Drosophila melanogaster: one gene and its partners. The protein of the gene in region 1 interacts with the protein of each later gene in a pairwise test. Each region holds a gene or a part of one and is shown on either strand. Other genes may lie near its edges.

What was found. The genes of interacting proteins can lie anywhere in the genome.
Region 2: the proteins of CG10887 (region 1) and Dip-B interact in a two-hybrid assay, tested with the Drosophila melanogaster proteins (one large-scale study listed by BioGRID).
Region 3: the proteins of CG10887 (region 1) and CG12674 interact in a two-hybrid assay, tested with the Drosophila melanogaster proteins (one large-scale study listed by BioGRID).

What each region holds. Positions count from the first base shown.
Region 1 is NT_033777.3:20,112,924-20,117,640, forward strand, and holds CG10887 (uncharacterized protein), read left to right. Parts: upstream 1-1,914; 5' UTR 1,915-2,015; coding exon 2,016-2,055; intron 2,056-2,113; coding exon 2,114-2,153; intron 2,154-2,209; coding exon 2,210-4,160; 3' UTR 4,161-4,216; downstream 4,217-4,717.
Region 2 is NT_033777.3:13,780,731-13,786,192, reverse strand, and holds Dip-B (dipeptidase B), read right to left. Parts: upstream 3,906-5,462; 5' UTR 3,742-3,905; intron 3,554-3,741; exon of another isoform or gene 3,499-3,553; 5' UTR 3,366-3,498; coding exon 3,352-3,365; intron 2,377-3,351; coding exon 2,100-2,376; intron 2,033-2,099; coding exon 1,934-2,032; intron 1,877-1,933; coding exon 740-1,876; 3' UTR 517-739; downstream 1-516. Other genes in the region: CG9286 (uncharacterized protein), read right to left, coding at 4,126-4,769, 4,829-4,955, 5,017-5,139.
Region 3 is NT_033779.5:2,078,240-2,081,802, reverse strand, and holds CG12674 (uncharacterized protein), read right to left. Parts: upstream 1,885-3,563; 5' UTR 1,727-1,884; coding exon 1,680-1,726; intron 1,596-1,679; coding exon 737-1,595; intron 672-736; coding exon 633-671; 3' UTR 517-632; downstream 1-516.

The sequences.
Region 1 (4,717 bases):
TTTACCATTTAAACAGGGTTCACAAATTTCACATGATAACTCTAAGTTGTTTAGAAGACTTTGATCACTAAACATATTCTTTCGTTTTATTTCTAATAATTTGCCATCGCTTATATGGCCAAACCTCTCATGCCATAAACGAAAATTATTTTTATGCTTAGCATTTATAGAATATGCTTGAAAATTGATCACAGGTACATTGTTTAACATACCTGAATTTTTGACAACCATTAACCCATTTTTCGAAATGGTTACACCGCTTTTGTCAAATTCGATCGACATTCCTGCCTCTTGGAGACGCTTTACGGACATCAAATTACCAGCAGCTTCCTTACAAAAGAGTACATCCTCCAGTGTAATCTCATGGTCATTCCGTAGTCGGACAATACCACGCTTAGTGGCATAAATAAATTCGCCTTGCTTGGCCACTGCAATCTTAAGTGGAGGCACAACCTCCACACTGTCGGTATACAGCGACTCATCATTTATAAGATGGTCACTAGCACCAGAATCAAGGACAAACCCGCAGTTGTCCATCACTGAAGTATTATTCACTTCTTTTACCATAAACGCAATGCCGTGTGATGTTGCAGTTTGAACTTGTTTTTCATTTTCTTTATTTTTATTATTTAATATTCTTTTATAATGGAAACAATCTTTTTTAATGTGGCCTTCTCTGCCACAGTGGTGACACTTGACTTTATACTTTGAATTTCCCTTGAATATTTTCTTTGGTTTAGTTACCCGATTTTTAAACAAATTATTTTTATAAGTGTTATTATTGTTGTGCACGATCGCGTTCATAACTTTCTTGCTTGTATCGTTGTGGTCATTTTTAATTTTAATTTCTTGATCCAGCAATCTATTTTTCACAAACGCCAATGTCAAATTTTCTTCAGATAATGTCTCTATCGCTGTAATAATTCCATCGTAACACGAAGGCAATGTGATCAGTAGATGAGAAATTTTATCCATCTCTTCTATTTTTGCACCAGCTGCCAACAATTCACTTATAAGTTCGTCAAAAATATGAAAATGGCTTAATAGTGACATCTCACTTGATAGCTTCAGAGAAAGCAAACGTTTTCGCAGCGCCAGTTGCGACGCCAAACTTTTTCGTTCATAAACGGCGTCCAAATTCTCAAGAATCTGACGCGCCGTAATGTCGCTTGTTGCGAAATTTAAAAACGAGTCGCTTAGGTACTCTATTATTGTACTTTTTGCACAACGCTCTGCCTTTTTCCAGGAGTCATCTACCTCGTTAGGCATTAAACCATCAACTACTTTAAGCACATCTTGCTCGGCTAAAAGAGCCCTAATTCTAAATTTCCAAATCGCGTACTTCTCGCCATCAAACGGCTTAATATTACGTTTAGCCTTGTCCATTTTTCACTCAAATTCTGAGAAGGAAATAATTTCACAAGAATGTGAAAAAAAAAGCTATTTCACAAGAATGTGAAAAAATGCTATTTCACAATTTATTTTCACAATCTTTAATTCACAATTTAATTGTTTATTAGGCATGGACTGGGCCCATAACCTGTTGTAATTTATAATTTATATTTCCTTTCTTAATAAATAAATAAATAGTCAAGTTTATGTTTGAGTTTTATGATTTATATTTTAAGTTATTTCAACTGCAACACCAGCACCACGACCTACTCACAGCAAAAAACGTACAAGAAGGAAAGAAGGAATAAAAAGAGTGGTATTCTCTTACAATATGTTTTATGGCATAAAAGGTGTGGCCATTCATATCAAATATAAAGTAGTGTTGTTTAACGTTATTTTTGTAGGTTGAATAGTATATTCCAACAGTTTTAAACCAATTAAAACAGTAGGGGAACAACACTGATTGTTAGAAAAGCTGACAACTCTTGCCCAGACAACTCTGTCAAACAATCGATAAATCAGTCACTTGGCTCGGCTGTCATTACGTAAAAAACCATATAGTTTTTTTTCTGTGCTGCTTGTGAAGAAATTGTGTTCCACTAACTCTTCGCCTTACGCTAAAAATGGCTGACCCCAATTTGCACGACAATCAAGTAATAAAAGGTTTGTAGTCTATAGAATATTAATAAAAATTGAATTATTATCTACGCTTTTACTTTAGATGGTGAATCTTCCGAAAGCTGGCCTGCATTCAATAGGAGGTTGGTTTAGGTACATATATTCTGCAGAACTTAGTAATCCCATATGGCTTTTCCAGGAGCCCGAATCCCTCTTTCTCCAGCGTTGATCAACAAGGAAATAAAACTAAGGCACGAAGGCAGCACCAAAGCCGTTCACATTCTTTTCACTCAACAGCAAATAGTGTTCCTGAATCGCAGGGACCTCTTGAATCTCGATCTGATCTGAACGCCAAGACATCATCGAAAAGCGAACGACCATATATTTCCACATCCAATTCAAGCTGGACCTCTGAATCCAGCTCCGGAAGTCCACCAGATTCAGGAGAATCGTCTTCGTTTTCGACTTCATCTTCGCTTTCATCATCATTATTATGTGCTCCAGAACCGAAATCTATTAACTGGAGCAACCCGAAATCTTCTTCAAATATCTCAAATGAAACCACAACTTCTGCGGGACAGGTTGGCGGCATTCCGAGCTTTTCAGAAAGTGATGACCAGGGAAGTGTCGACTCTGAAACAGTCTCTAACATCAGAAAATCAACTTCCCTCATAGAACTTAAAGACAATTTCAATACAATCATTGACGAAGATAATAATCAACAGCTCTCTAACGAGGGCAACATATTGTCCCCTGGGACAGTTTCTATTTCCAATTTTCCAAGCTCGAATGAAGTAGCAAATGGATTGATTGATGAGATGGAACAAGACCTACTCTCGAAGCAACATTCTACATCGACCCCAATAAATAAAAGTAATACAATGGAAAAAGAATTGCTCCCATTGCAATGTTCTTCATTTCCACCGACATCATCCGAAGGTAATATTTTAAAACCCAGGGTCAATCCTGTGCCATTAGGTCCCAGCTCAAATACAGAGTATGAATCAAATGGAAAAAATTACAACATTGAAAAAAGGTTGTCCCAATTGCGATATAGTTCAGATGAAAAGGAATCCGATGTCTTGTCGTATGCCTCTTCTGATAGTCTCGATTTAAATTTCGATTACGGTGATAATGCAAAGAATCAAAATGGAAATGGAATGAATGGAGAGGTAAATGGTGATAAGGAGTCGCAAGTTCTTGATATAGAAGAACAACGCAAACCTTTTGAAAAAGATGTAGCAGTTAAGTTCCAGACCACCATAACAACCCAAAATTGTGGACTTCTAAAAGGTCCATCGCAGTTTCTGAAGATGCCTTATTTCATACCCGTGGAATCCAAGGCATACGTGCCTGAAACCTTTCAGGATCGCATGACTAAGAATGATTTGAAGGACGAACAGTCACGCGAGGATTTCATAAATCGTCTAAAGGCAACTGTTAGGTGGCGCGAGAACGAAAACAAAACCAAGGAGTCCAATGCGAAAATTGTTCGTTGGTCCGATGGCAGCGAAACCTTTCATGTGGGCAACGAGGTTTTCGATATGATGCATCACCCGGTGACCGTTAACCAGAACCATTTGTATGTTCGCCTGGGCAGCTTCTACCAGCCTCAGGGTTTGATCCAGAATAAGTTGACTGTGCGTCCCATGCTGGACTCCAATTTCGGACAGAGTCATGTCCAGGCCTTGCGTAATCGAGCCACGAATAAGCCACAGTCTGGGTGCGTTAAGGTGATAACGAACATGGGCTCCAATCCCGAGCACGATCATGATCGGCGCATGAAGGAGGAATTGTCCAAGCTTCGCCAGGAGGGTCGTGAAAAGAATCGCGCGCTTATGAAGAATCATCCTCCGAAACGTGACAGGCACTATCAAGGCTCCGATCACAATGTGGCCAAAAACGCAGGGGCATTCGAAGAGGACGACGGTGAGGGTGCAGATTGCGAGACAAGCTCTGCATTGGAGGTTACGAATGAACCAATGCGCAGCGAGGAAGATACCGAAGATCATATGGACGATGATGCTTCTTGGAGCTCACCCAATTCCCAGGAGGAAGGAAAGCAATCGAGTTCCGAAGACGATCTCCCGATCGGAGGTGCTATCCGCAAGCCCACGCGTTTGGTCTATTCCGGATCAGATTCCGACTAAATATTAAATAGCCGCTAGATACGAAATCTCAATAAACATGTCATTAGCCAGCACGCAACAAAGCGTAGAGCCAGGAGTAGCTGCAACTGATATTTAATTAACAATTTCTCGCGCCCACAGTGGGTGTACGGCCATTGCCTTAATTAGGGGGCGTGGCAGCTGAGGCAGGCAGACATTGGTAGTCGGCGCAGAAATTGCTAAAGGTCACAATGGGGTCGTGATTGCAGCGCGGAGCACTCTAACCCAAATGCCATTGTCCGACTGCCAAACTGGCCGGCATACCAACGCCCAAAGCAATTAATGGTAGGTGCATTGGATTGCTGCCTGGTGTTTTTGGGAGATTGGACTCGTGACTCGGTGGGTCGTATGTGGGTTTTGGGGGCGGCAAGTGGGTGGCTTTCTGGTCAGCGGCTCAGTCGGACTTTGCTCTTTGATTCCAGCTTTATATTTGTCACCGCCATCTCAGGTAGCCGAAATAAGATACATACATACTTAGCTTGTTAAAAATTTGAAATTAATAAGTACTTTATTTGTTAGCAAAAGGCGTTATCCTGAAA
Region 2 (5,462 bases), 6.3 Mb from region 1:
TGCAATCACAGCATGAATGAGACACTCTTGACCGAGTTTCCAAAGCCAGGCAATAACGGTACCAAGACACATGCGACAGCTGACAAGCGGGCCCCATCCACATCCCCATCCCCCAACCAAGCCAATCCACGCCAAGTTGCTGGGCCAAGCTCCCGGGAACGGGGCCCAAAGCGAAGAGCATGGCCAAGAAGCGACTAACGGGTTCTAGGCTGTGGGCCAAGCTACAAAAAAAGAAGGCGCTGCAAAGCTGAAGAGAAAAGGCTGCGAAAGGGGAAGAGCAGGAGTACGAGCCATACCGTAGATGGCCAACAAGAGCTCGAAATGCAGGGCACCCGCCAATTATGCAAACAATGCAGCTGGGAAATGCAGTAATAATAAAAAAGAAATAAAAAAGACCGAATACCCACGCGGCTTTCTTGTATACTTAACAAATATATGTAGGGTGGTTATTCTCTATAATGGGATGATATAATGTTTATATTTCCATGTTGATGAATATAATGAGATATTTGCTTTGTAAGCTTAAGGAAAAAAACAAATCATTTTCACATTTATTTGTAAACGATTACCAAATTAGTGACATACATTTATGAATACAATCTGAACTCGGTTTTGCCTTTATTAAAAAACAGTGATGCAGTTAGTAGGATAATATTGTTGGTTAGCTAAGCACGTGGGTGTATAAGTACTGTTTGTGGTGATCGTGTACACATCCTCCTGAATATTAGGTGGACATGATTTACTTCTGCAGATGGGTCTTCACCAGGGAAACAAGAGGGGCAGCTGTGGGCATCGCTGGGTGCTCACCGGCACTGCCGGCGATATCAATATGGGTGTACTTAATGGGCAGCATTGAATCCAACCCGTGTTTGTCCAGTCCAGAAGCCTTAATCATAAAGGCGGCGGGCACCTGGTGACCGCGAGGAGTCCTCACCGACGGGGCATTATTGGCCTGCACCAAATCCTCGCCAATCACCTTTCCAGCGTTAAAAGAGAAGTCACTGGGACGGAGAATGGACACTTCGAAGGGCTCTCCGAAGGCCTGTCCAGCAGCCTGCAGTCTTCTGGCGTGATCCTCCCGATGGGCCACGCTGTTATCGATGGCAATCGACTGACCCTCACCTGCCGAGATGAAGGCGTGACCAGTCAAGGTGGCAATGGTGAAAAGATGCGGATCCGGGAGATTCTGCTCCACGACCAACTCCTTCATGCGGCACAGGGCATCGGTCATGCACATGCGACCCTCGGCATCAGTATTTCCAATCCTCACATGAAGACCAGCTCGCGAGGTGATAACCTCATCGGCCACGTAGCACTCCTCGCCCACGGAATTGCGCACCATGCACAGGGCAGCCACAACATGGATATCATCCGGTTGCAGTTGACTGACCACCTGCATGAATCCAGCGACAGCAGCCGCTCCACACTTGTCGCGCGACATACCGGCCATCACACCACCGGCCTTGATGTCAGCACCACCGGTGTCATAGGTAACACCCTTGCCGACCAGCATCAGAGTTTTTCTCGCCGGCTTTGGAGGCTTGTACTCCAGGAAAATGATGCGACCACGATGACGCTCCACTGCATCAGCAGCCCGGTTTACGGCGGCAAACAGGGGATACTCCTTCTGCAACACCTGGGTGTCACTGATCACATTCACGTTGAGCTTGTCGAACAACGGCTTGATGTACTTCTCCACCTGGATGGGCGTCATGCGCTCCGGGTCCCCAACTCCGATGTCGCGGGCCACAAAGCGACCGGCCTCCAGAATGAGAGCTTCCTGGAAAATAGCTTCGGCCCTTGGATCATCGATCTGGACACTGAGCGTGGTCACACGGGGGTCCTTCAAAGTTCCTGCCTCGCGCAATTGAATGGGCTAAAAAACGTGTTTTAGCACATTGATTGAAATAAAAGTAAACATAATCCATATTACCACATAAAGCTGCTCCAGAGCTCCCAGAACGGTGCAGAGTTCGACCTCGGGGAAGCGCTTAACCTTGGGCACAAACAGCAACGGCGTGTGGAATCCAGCCTGGCAAAGAATACATATACATTTTCTTTCATAATTCACACAATATGTATAGAAAAAAAAAACCCACCTTGAGAACCTTCTCCATGGACCGCTTGGCCGCCTCCTGGTAGCTCCTCACATCGTCGTAGTCGGTGAGCTCGGAGACGGGGGCATAGACCACAGGTTGATCCACGTTGGGCACCTTAAAGCAGGATATGCTGCTGTCGAAGGACTTGTCGAATTTGCGGTGCTCCTCGAAGGTGGCCTTCAGTTCATTGGGAACCGCATTGCGATCGATGATGCACAGGCAGTCGTTGCCGGCCAGACTCATCAGCTTGTTCAGCCGGAGGGTGCATGGTAGAATTCTGGAGGGGCACACGTAGAGTAGAGTTAAAGTGCGCAACGGAATCGTTATTGGTATTCATTAAGAAACATTTCTGGGTGTCAACTAAATGTGCAATAGCGTTTAATTGAATTGAATTTTATCACGTCACATTTGCTTTATTAACTGATGCAGTCGTTCATATTGCATAACAGCCTGTTGCCTTTGTATTTCAATTTATTATTTCAAAAGAAAATGTCCCCACTGTATTAGGAGCAACCATGGCCATGTTTCAGTGTGTTCCCCTTTCGTTTACCCTCATTCCTGGCGCTGGGCTTATCTTAACTCGAAGTGCTATAAAGAATCGCGATAAGCTTTCGAAATGACCATAATCACAAACCGATTTCCAATTTAGAAACAAGTGTACCAAGTATTAGCACAAATGGTGTTAAAGTACTTATTTAGAATATTTGTAATCTTATTCAAGTGTTTCTACTAAATACCAATCCTTAGGTAACTGGGTCTATAATATTTTGGAGAATAATCCTATGTCGCTGACCATTTAATTGTGTTATCTTTTGAAGTGCCCCATATCAAACAATAAAAGTTGATCTATATATATCTGTTTCCAGAAGTAGCAAGAACTCGTTATCTAAGTAATAATGATAAAATTAAGTGACCTCCCCCCTTTAACTTTTATACAGTATTTCGCCAAACATTGTTTTTATTTTGGGAAAAGATAAAGTTTGGAATTTTCATGACATCTATTCCTTGCCGGCAACTAATTAAAACTGATAAACGCTGAGATATGCAGTACTAAAAACATTCTAATTTCGTTTTGGAATTATGGGAAAGGTAAATAAGATAGCAATTGATGGATGCTAAGCGACTAACCCTCACTGTAAAAGATGGCGAATCTTTGAGAGCTTTTCCAATCGGTCGCTAAGCGGTGGCTAGATAACTGATCCGCGCTAACTTAAAACACACCCTCTAATAACTGTTGGTAATAAATACTCACTTTTCGATACCCATGATGAGTACTTTTTCGCAGGCAGCTCACGCGACTTGGTTGATCGGCAAGTGGGGCGTCACTGAACCTCCCTGATGGGAACAAAGCGCTGCAGCTGGAAACTGGAAACTTGGGAGCGGGATCTGGAACGGAAAGCTGGCGATAAGGAGCGATTGTGATAGCTCTCCGCGACGATTTGCAATGTTCTGGCTGGGTGGCCAAGCTTTTTATACATTTTACTAGCGAGCCGGGCTTTAGGTTTTTTTTTTTTAATTGCTACTTGCGTTTTCGAATGAAAACAAATCGCACGAGCGATGAATAATCGCCAGTATGCTCGCTATGTACGTAATTCTAGAACTCGGATATAACTTGTAAACAATAAAGGCAAAGTCTACTCACGTCGCTCGGTCTTCGGAATTGTTATTGTGGGTTCCTCTTGCCAGTCACGTCCACGGTGGATGCAGTTTCTGGGCCAAAACTAACCAGTGGCAAAAAACAAAGGAATGGCAACCAGGTTTTTTTTTCACAGTAGACCAGCCGGCATGTGCGAAGCTTTCAAATGCCGGCCAAGTGACAGCTGTTTGTGGTTTGCCCGCGTTGCCAATTGTCATAAAGGATGTGGAAAGCTTTCGGTTCGAATTTTTGATACTCTTTGTATGGGACTACAAAGAAATAGAAGCTTATCGGTCGTTAGAGACCGGACATTATTACTTCTTAATTAGATATTTGTCGGGGTGTTATATTAAGGCCAAATAACACAGCAGTTTTAAATGTAAAAAATATTTATTCGCCATTAATAAAGCGTTGTATATCGTCAATAAGCTGCGGAAGTTTTTTGGCCTCCAGGACCAGGAGTTTCCTGTAGGGCGTCATCACGGCATCGCCTTCCAGCCAATCGCCAGACATGCCCGAATCGGTTTCAGAGGCCATGGAATACTCGAAGGAGAACTTAGCCCGATCCGAAAGCAACTCATCCTCAGCGTTGGTGTACACGTCCTCGCCCGGTTTGCCCTTCTTCGACTCTTTCCTGTAGAACTTAACCAGCAGCAGCAGAGTGCCAAAGTCGTATTTCATTTTCTTGGCCTTGGCGGCTTCGATTTCTTGCTGCAAACTCTGCAGCAGTGGCACGGAGATCTGGGCAGGGATATTGATAAAGCGCTCGTTGATCAAGAATCCCACATGGCGCTGCTCGCTGTCTAGAATCTCCTTCAACTGCTGCTGAACCTCCGGAGAAGCGTGCGTCTTGGCGCGATCCAGTATGTAGGTCCTTAACTGGGCGATGCTGGGCTGATCCTTTTTGGCGGTCAGGTTCAGCACAGAGGTGATTCCAAAGATGGTGCCATCCTCGACCATGTTGTCGTCCTCCGTTTCGCTTTCGGTGCCCTCGTCGTCGCACTGGCAGATCACACTGCCTATAAAATTTTGGGCTGGAAACAAAAAAAGTTGTGCTGATAGATAGATCAAGATAGTACCTTGGAGTGCTCACCTATGATCAAATCCGCCATTTGGTTGCAGTTGATGTGGGCACGAAGGAATAGTCGCTGCAGGAGTTGAGAGATTCCCTGGGCATCGGGATCTACTGGAGCTCGTCCCTCAAAGTCGATTTGCACCTCCTAGCCGGATATTAATTTTGAAACACATTTGCTTTTCATATTTTGGAGGCACTTAGATTACCTCGTTTCCCTTATAGGCATCTGGATGCGGTTCGTCGTCGTCATCATCCTCGCTGGAACTGGAGACATCCTCGTTGGGGTCCACCTCCATGGTACTCAATTTCTTTTGCTTATTAGCTGACATTTTTAAGATTTAGTTAACGAATTTGGTTTTGTTTCGCTTCCACTAAATTGCCGCCCGAACAGCTGTTTATCGTCCACACGTGTTGCATTGAGTTGCCAACTATTACGGAGCGTGCTGTTAAGTGGGCAGAGTTCTGTAAATGCACCGGAGTTAACAGGCTGTTAAGAAATAAAATTTACTGGAAATTAAATAGTAGACCCGACATTACATTTGACCATAAGTATTAACAAAATTCACAAGTTTCAGAAAATATTATTTGTGGTTTACTGTCAAAATTATTATTATTTAAGTCCTCATTGACTTTGAGCAATATAATATATGTA
Region 3 (3,563 bases), on another chromosome or scaffold:
CATGGGGTTTCCTGCCAAATCGCTGCCACAACAAATTCCGAGCGTCTGGCCAAATGAAATAGGATTCCGCAGTGAACCACAGTGGCGGGGAAAGTAAAGTACAAATCGTGGCTCGAAGGAAACGTCATAAAAATTGTCTATTTCTCGCCGGCAAACGTATACTTGAGTACGAGTATATTCTTGCTTGTGTGGGCAGGTCCCTAGAAATGCCTTGGAATCGTCATGACAGCTCTTGCCAGGATTGCCCCAAAGATGCTGCATCACTTGACGTGGATGGAGAAGTGGAAGGGGAGGTGGTGCCGGGTGGTGGCCAGGGCGGAGTCACTTCTTCAGTTTGAGCCTGTTGCCTGGCAACTTTTGCTCGACTTTCGCAACCAACGCAGAAATCAACTGACATTTCGGATTAACTTTCGATGCTAAAATTCAATTTAAGTAGATGTTTTCAATAATTATTTTTAACGAAAGCGAACAACACTGTGGAAACCAGTTAAGACATTTATGGAGCATTCGAAATTTGTTTTTATTATTTTAATGGTCATCAGATGGAAAATTTCCACCAAGCATTTTGATATTTTTATTTTCATAACATAAGCTTCTGAAGTACATCCAATTAAATGTTCTTATATTGTTCTTTAATCGGTAGTTGTATTCATTCCCACACGCTGGACCTTCTAGAAAAGCAATGTTATATACAAACGCATTGTCATAAATTTGAGAGTGCTTTTCCGAGACTCACCAGCAGAAACTTGTTAGCCGAAACGTGTGGGCGTGGACGTTCCCGCCTTAATTTGATGTATTTGTCGACACCAACGTAAAAGATGGCGTCATTCTCCTCGCGGAGTATGTAACCCTCACCGCGCTCCAAGCTATCGTCGGCTTTTTCCTCTCTGTAGCGATGGTCGGATACGTAAACCTTTTCGGTAGAGTCCGCAATGTCCTGGACGAAACTGAAGTTGATCAGACAGCTTCCGCAGTCCCTGATTAGTCCCTGGTTGCTATTTTGGGGTGGATTATCAAAACTCATCTGGACGAAGCTATATTTCTGCAAATCCGTATCGGGAAAGACTGGCAAGACCTGCACAGGGTAGGCATTGCTACCCGGATTGGTGGGATGTCGGTAGAGGGGTTTGCCAATATCCTTGAAGCTCGCATCAATCATCGCCTTTTGTTGCTCCAGGCTGACCGGCTGCAGGTCTTTTGGGGCCTTGGGCACCGCCACAGAACGCTGTAGTCCTGGGAGAGGTGGATGCACTCGCTCCTTGGCGAACATCTTGGCGCATTCCTGAGCGCGACTTGGTTCGAGTCTGGCGAAGTCCCAGTCTAGGGCTCTTATGTCCTTAAGTAGATCAGCTTCTCTGGGATTCATTGGCTGCACATTCTCGGAAAGCTTATCGTAAGCCGACTGATCCATCAAATTAACGGAGAATAGCTCATGAAGTCCTTTGAAATTTAGCGAAAAACAAGTGTCCAGTTTGGGAATCGAAACCGGCTCCTTGCAGTACTCCTGGATATTCTGGCCACAGGGCAGAAACTTGCAATCCTTTGGATAAGTGGGCAACTCATTTGTGTAGACAATGGGACAGATGAACTGATTGCTGAGAAGTGTGTGTGTTTTTTTTTTTTTAGTTGAAATTGGGTCCTCGAGTTTGAATTGACAGGAAGAGATTCCCCATACTTACTGCGCTTCATCCCGCTTGCGCTTATTGTTCACGAACCCAGATGCCATAATGGAGGAGTTTTCTGATTTTTTCTTGGCTCTTCGTGCACTTCCCTGCTCTGCCTGCTTTCACGTTCCAAATGCTCGACAAGTTTTCCGATTTGTGCTTCGTCAGTCACTTTTCACTCTGACAGACCCGTCAGCGGCAAGTTGACAGCTCGGCGTGGAAAAACTAGGTGCCGATAGCGTCTCCTGGTGGAAGTGGATAGATTATCGCCTGTGGCTAGAGAGTGGAAAACGATGAAAACTAAACTTTAATTACATTTACACAACCGTGGAAAAATTTAAAAATATATTTCATTCATTTCATTCATCATAAACTATCGATAACTAGTTGTGCAATAGAAGCTCACTAAGGAGTTGATAAACTAAAAGGATTTCGATAGACCGAAGCGTGTCCTTAATAAGTTTTAGTTCGTCGATGTGCCCACCTCAAATTGACTGGCTCATTGACATTTACCCCCATTTACCCCCACTTGCCCCTCGTTAACCCCCACGAACATCCGCAAGATGCGGGCCACTCGGCCATAATGGACTCTGACTTGGCCACCTTAGGTTTTGGCCAGGGCTAAGCTCATTACGTGCCACGCCTCCAAATACAATTGCAAACTGTTGTTGTGGTGGCCGAAAATGGAAATTCTGCACTCGGAGAAATGGGAAAGGATTTGAGGCGATACTACAAGTATGAGTGATATTACTTCTTAAAGTTTGATTGGTATATACATATATATCATGGTAGGGATATATAATAACTGCCCCCTTCCAACTGAAATACATATGAATAATCCGGACTAATTTGCAGTGTAGATGATGGAGGGTGGCTCATGGTGTTGATAAGAGTGGTTGGAGTCCTTCTCGTGGCTCGTGCCGAAATTAATTGATGCGACAATGGCTGAGCAACGACTAACTTGGGCCTCCAACTCAATTCCGGCCGCCACATCACGAGCTCATCATCATCATGGGTTGCGAGGGGGCAGGCAAATTAAGAGGATGAGCAGGAGGTCGAGCAGTAGGTGGAGCTGCTGAGATGGGAGGTGTGGACGCCATGTGGATGCCGCATTCTGAGGGCTGTGCAATTTGGCGTGCGGAATTTCATTAGAGCCGCCGGAGCGGCGAAATCAAAATTTAATTTATGCTGACATTGAAGTGTCTGTGGGGCAATTAAATCGACAGCGGGGCGTGGCAGCCGCCTCCGCCGCCTTTGTGTTGATTAAGTACCGCCGAGCAATATTTTAGCATAATGATGTCCTGGCACGCAGGCTGGGCCTCCACCGTTTGCGTTTTTCAGTGCTCCTGCTCCTTCGGCAAGCCTTTCACTTGAGCCCCTCCAACGGGCCAAAGGATTCGGACCGCCTTTGATGGCTGATACCCTGATGGGCTGATGGTCTGATGATGGCTGCGCCTGATTAGCCGCCCGATTAGCCTTTGTGTCCCGGGATTTACGACAGCTAAGCAAATTTTTATTCGAGTTTTTGACTAATTTGTTGATGGCCTTCGTGATGAACCGACAAACATTTTGGATTGCACATAATCCAGTTAGCGAAAAGGGAGCCCAGCTAACACGCTTGCGTTTAATGGCCGGAAATATGTTACGGGCAATCCAAAAATATATAAATTGATATACTTTATCTTAACGGGGGACACTTCTCCGGGGGATTACACATTTTTAGATGCAATTTGTCTCTGCTATCAAATATATATTTTGGCAAAGAGTAGTTGCTGAAAACATCCTTAGACGACAGCGCAAACTTTACTCAATTTTTTCTTAGCTTAAAGGGGTATTCGTTGGCTAAGTAGCGAATGATGATTTTCCGCAGCTAGAGATACTTTGAAGACGGATCCGCTA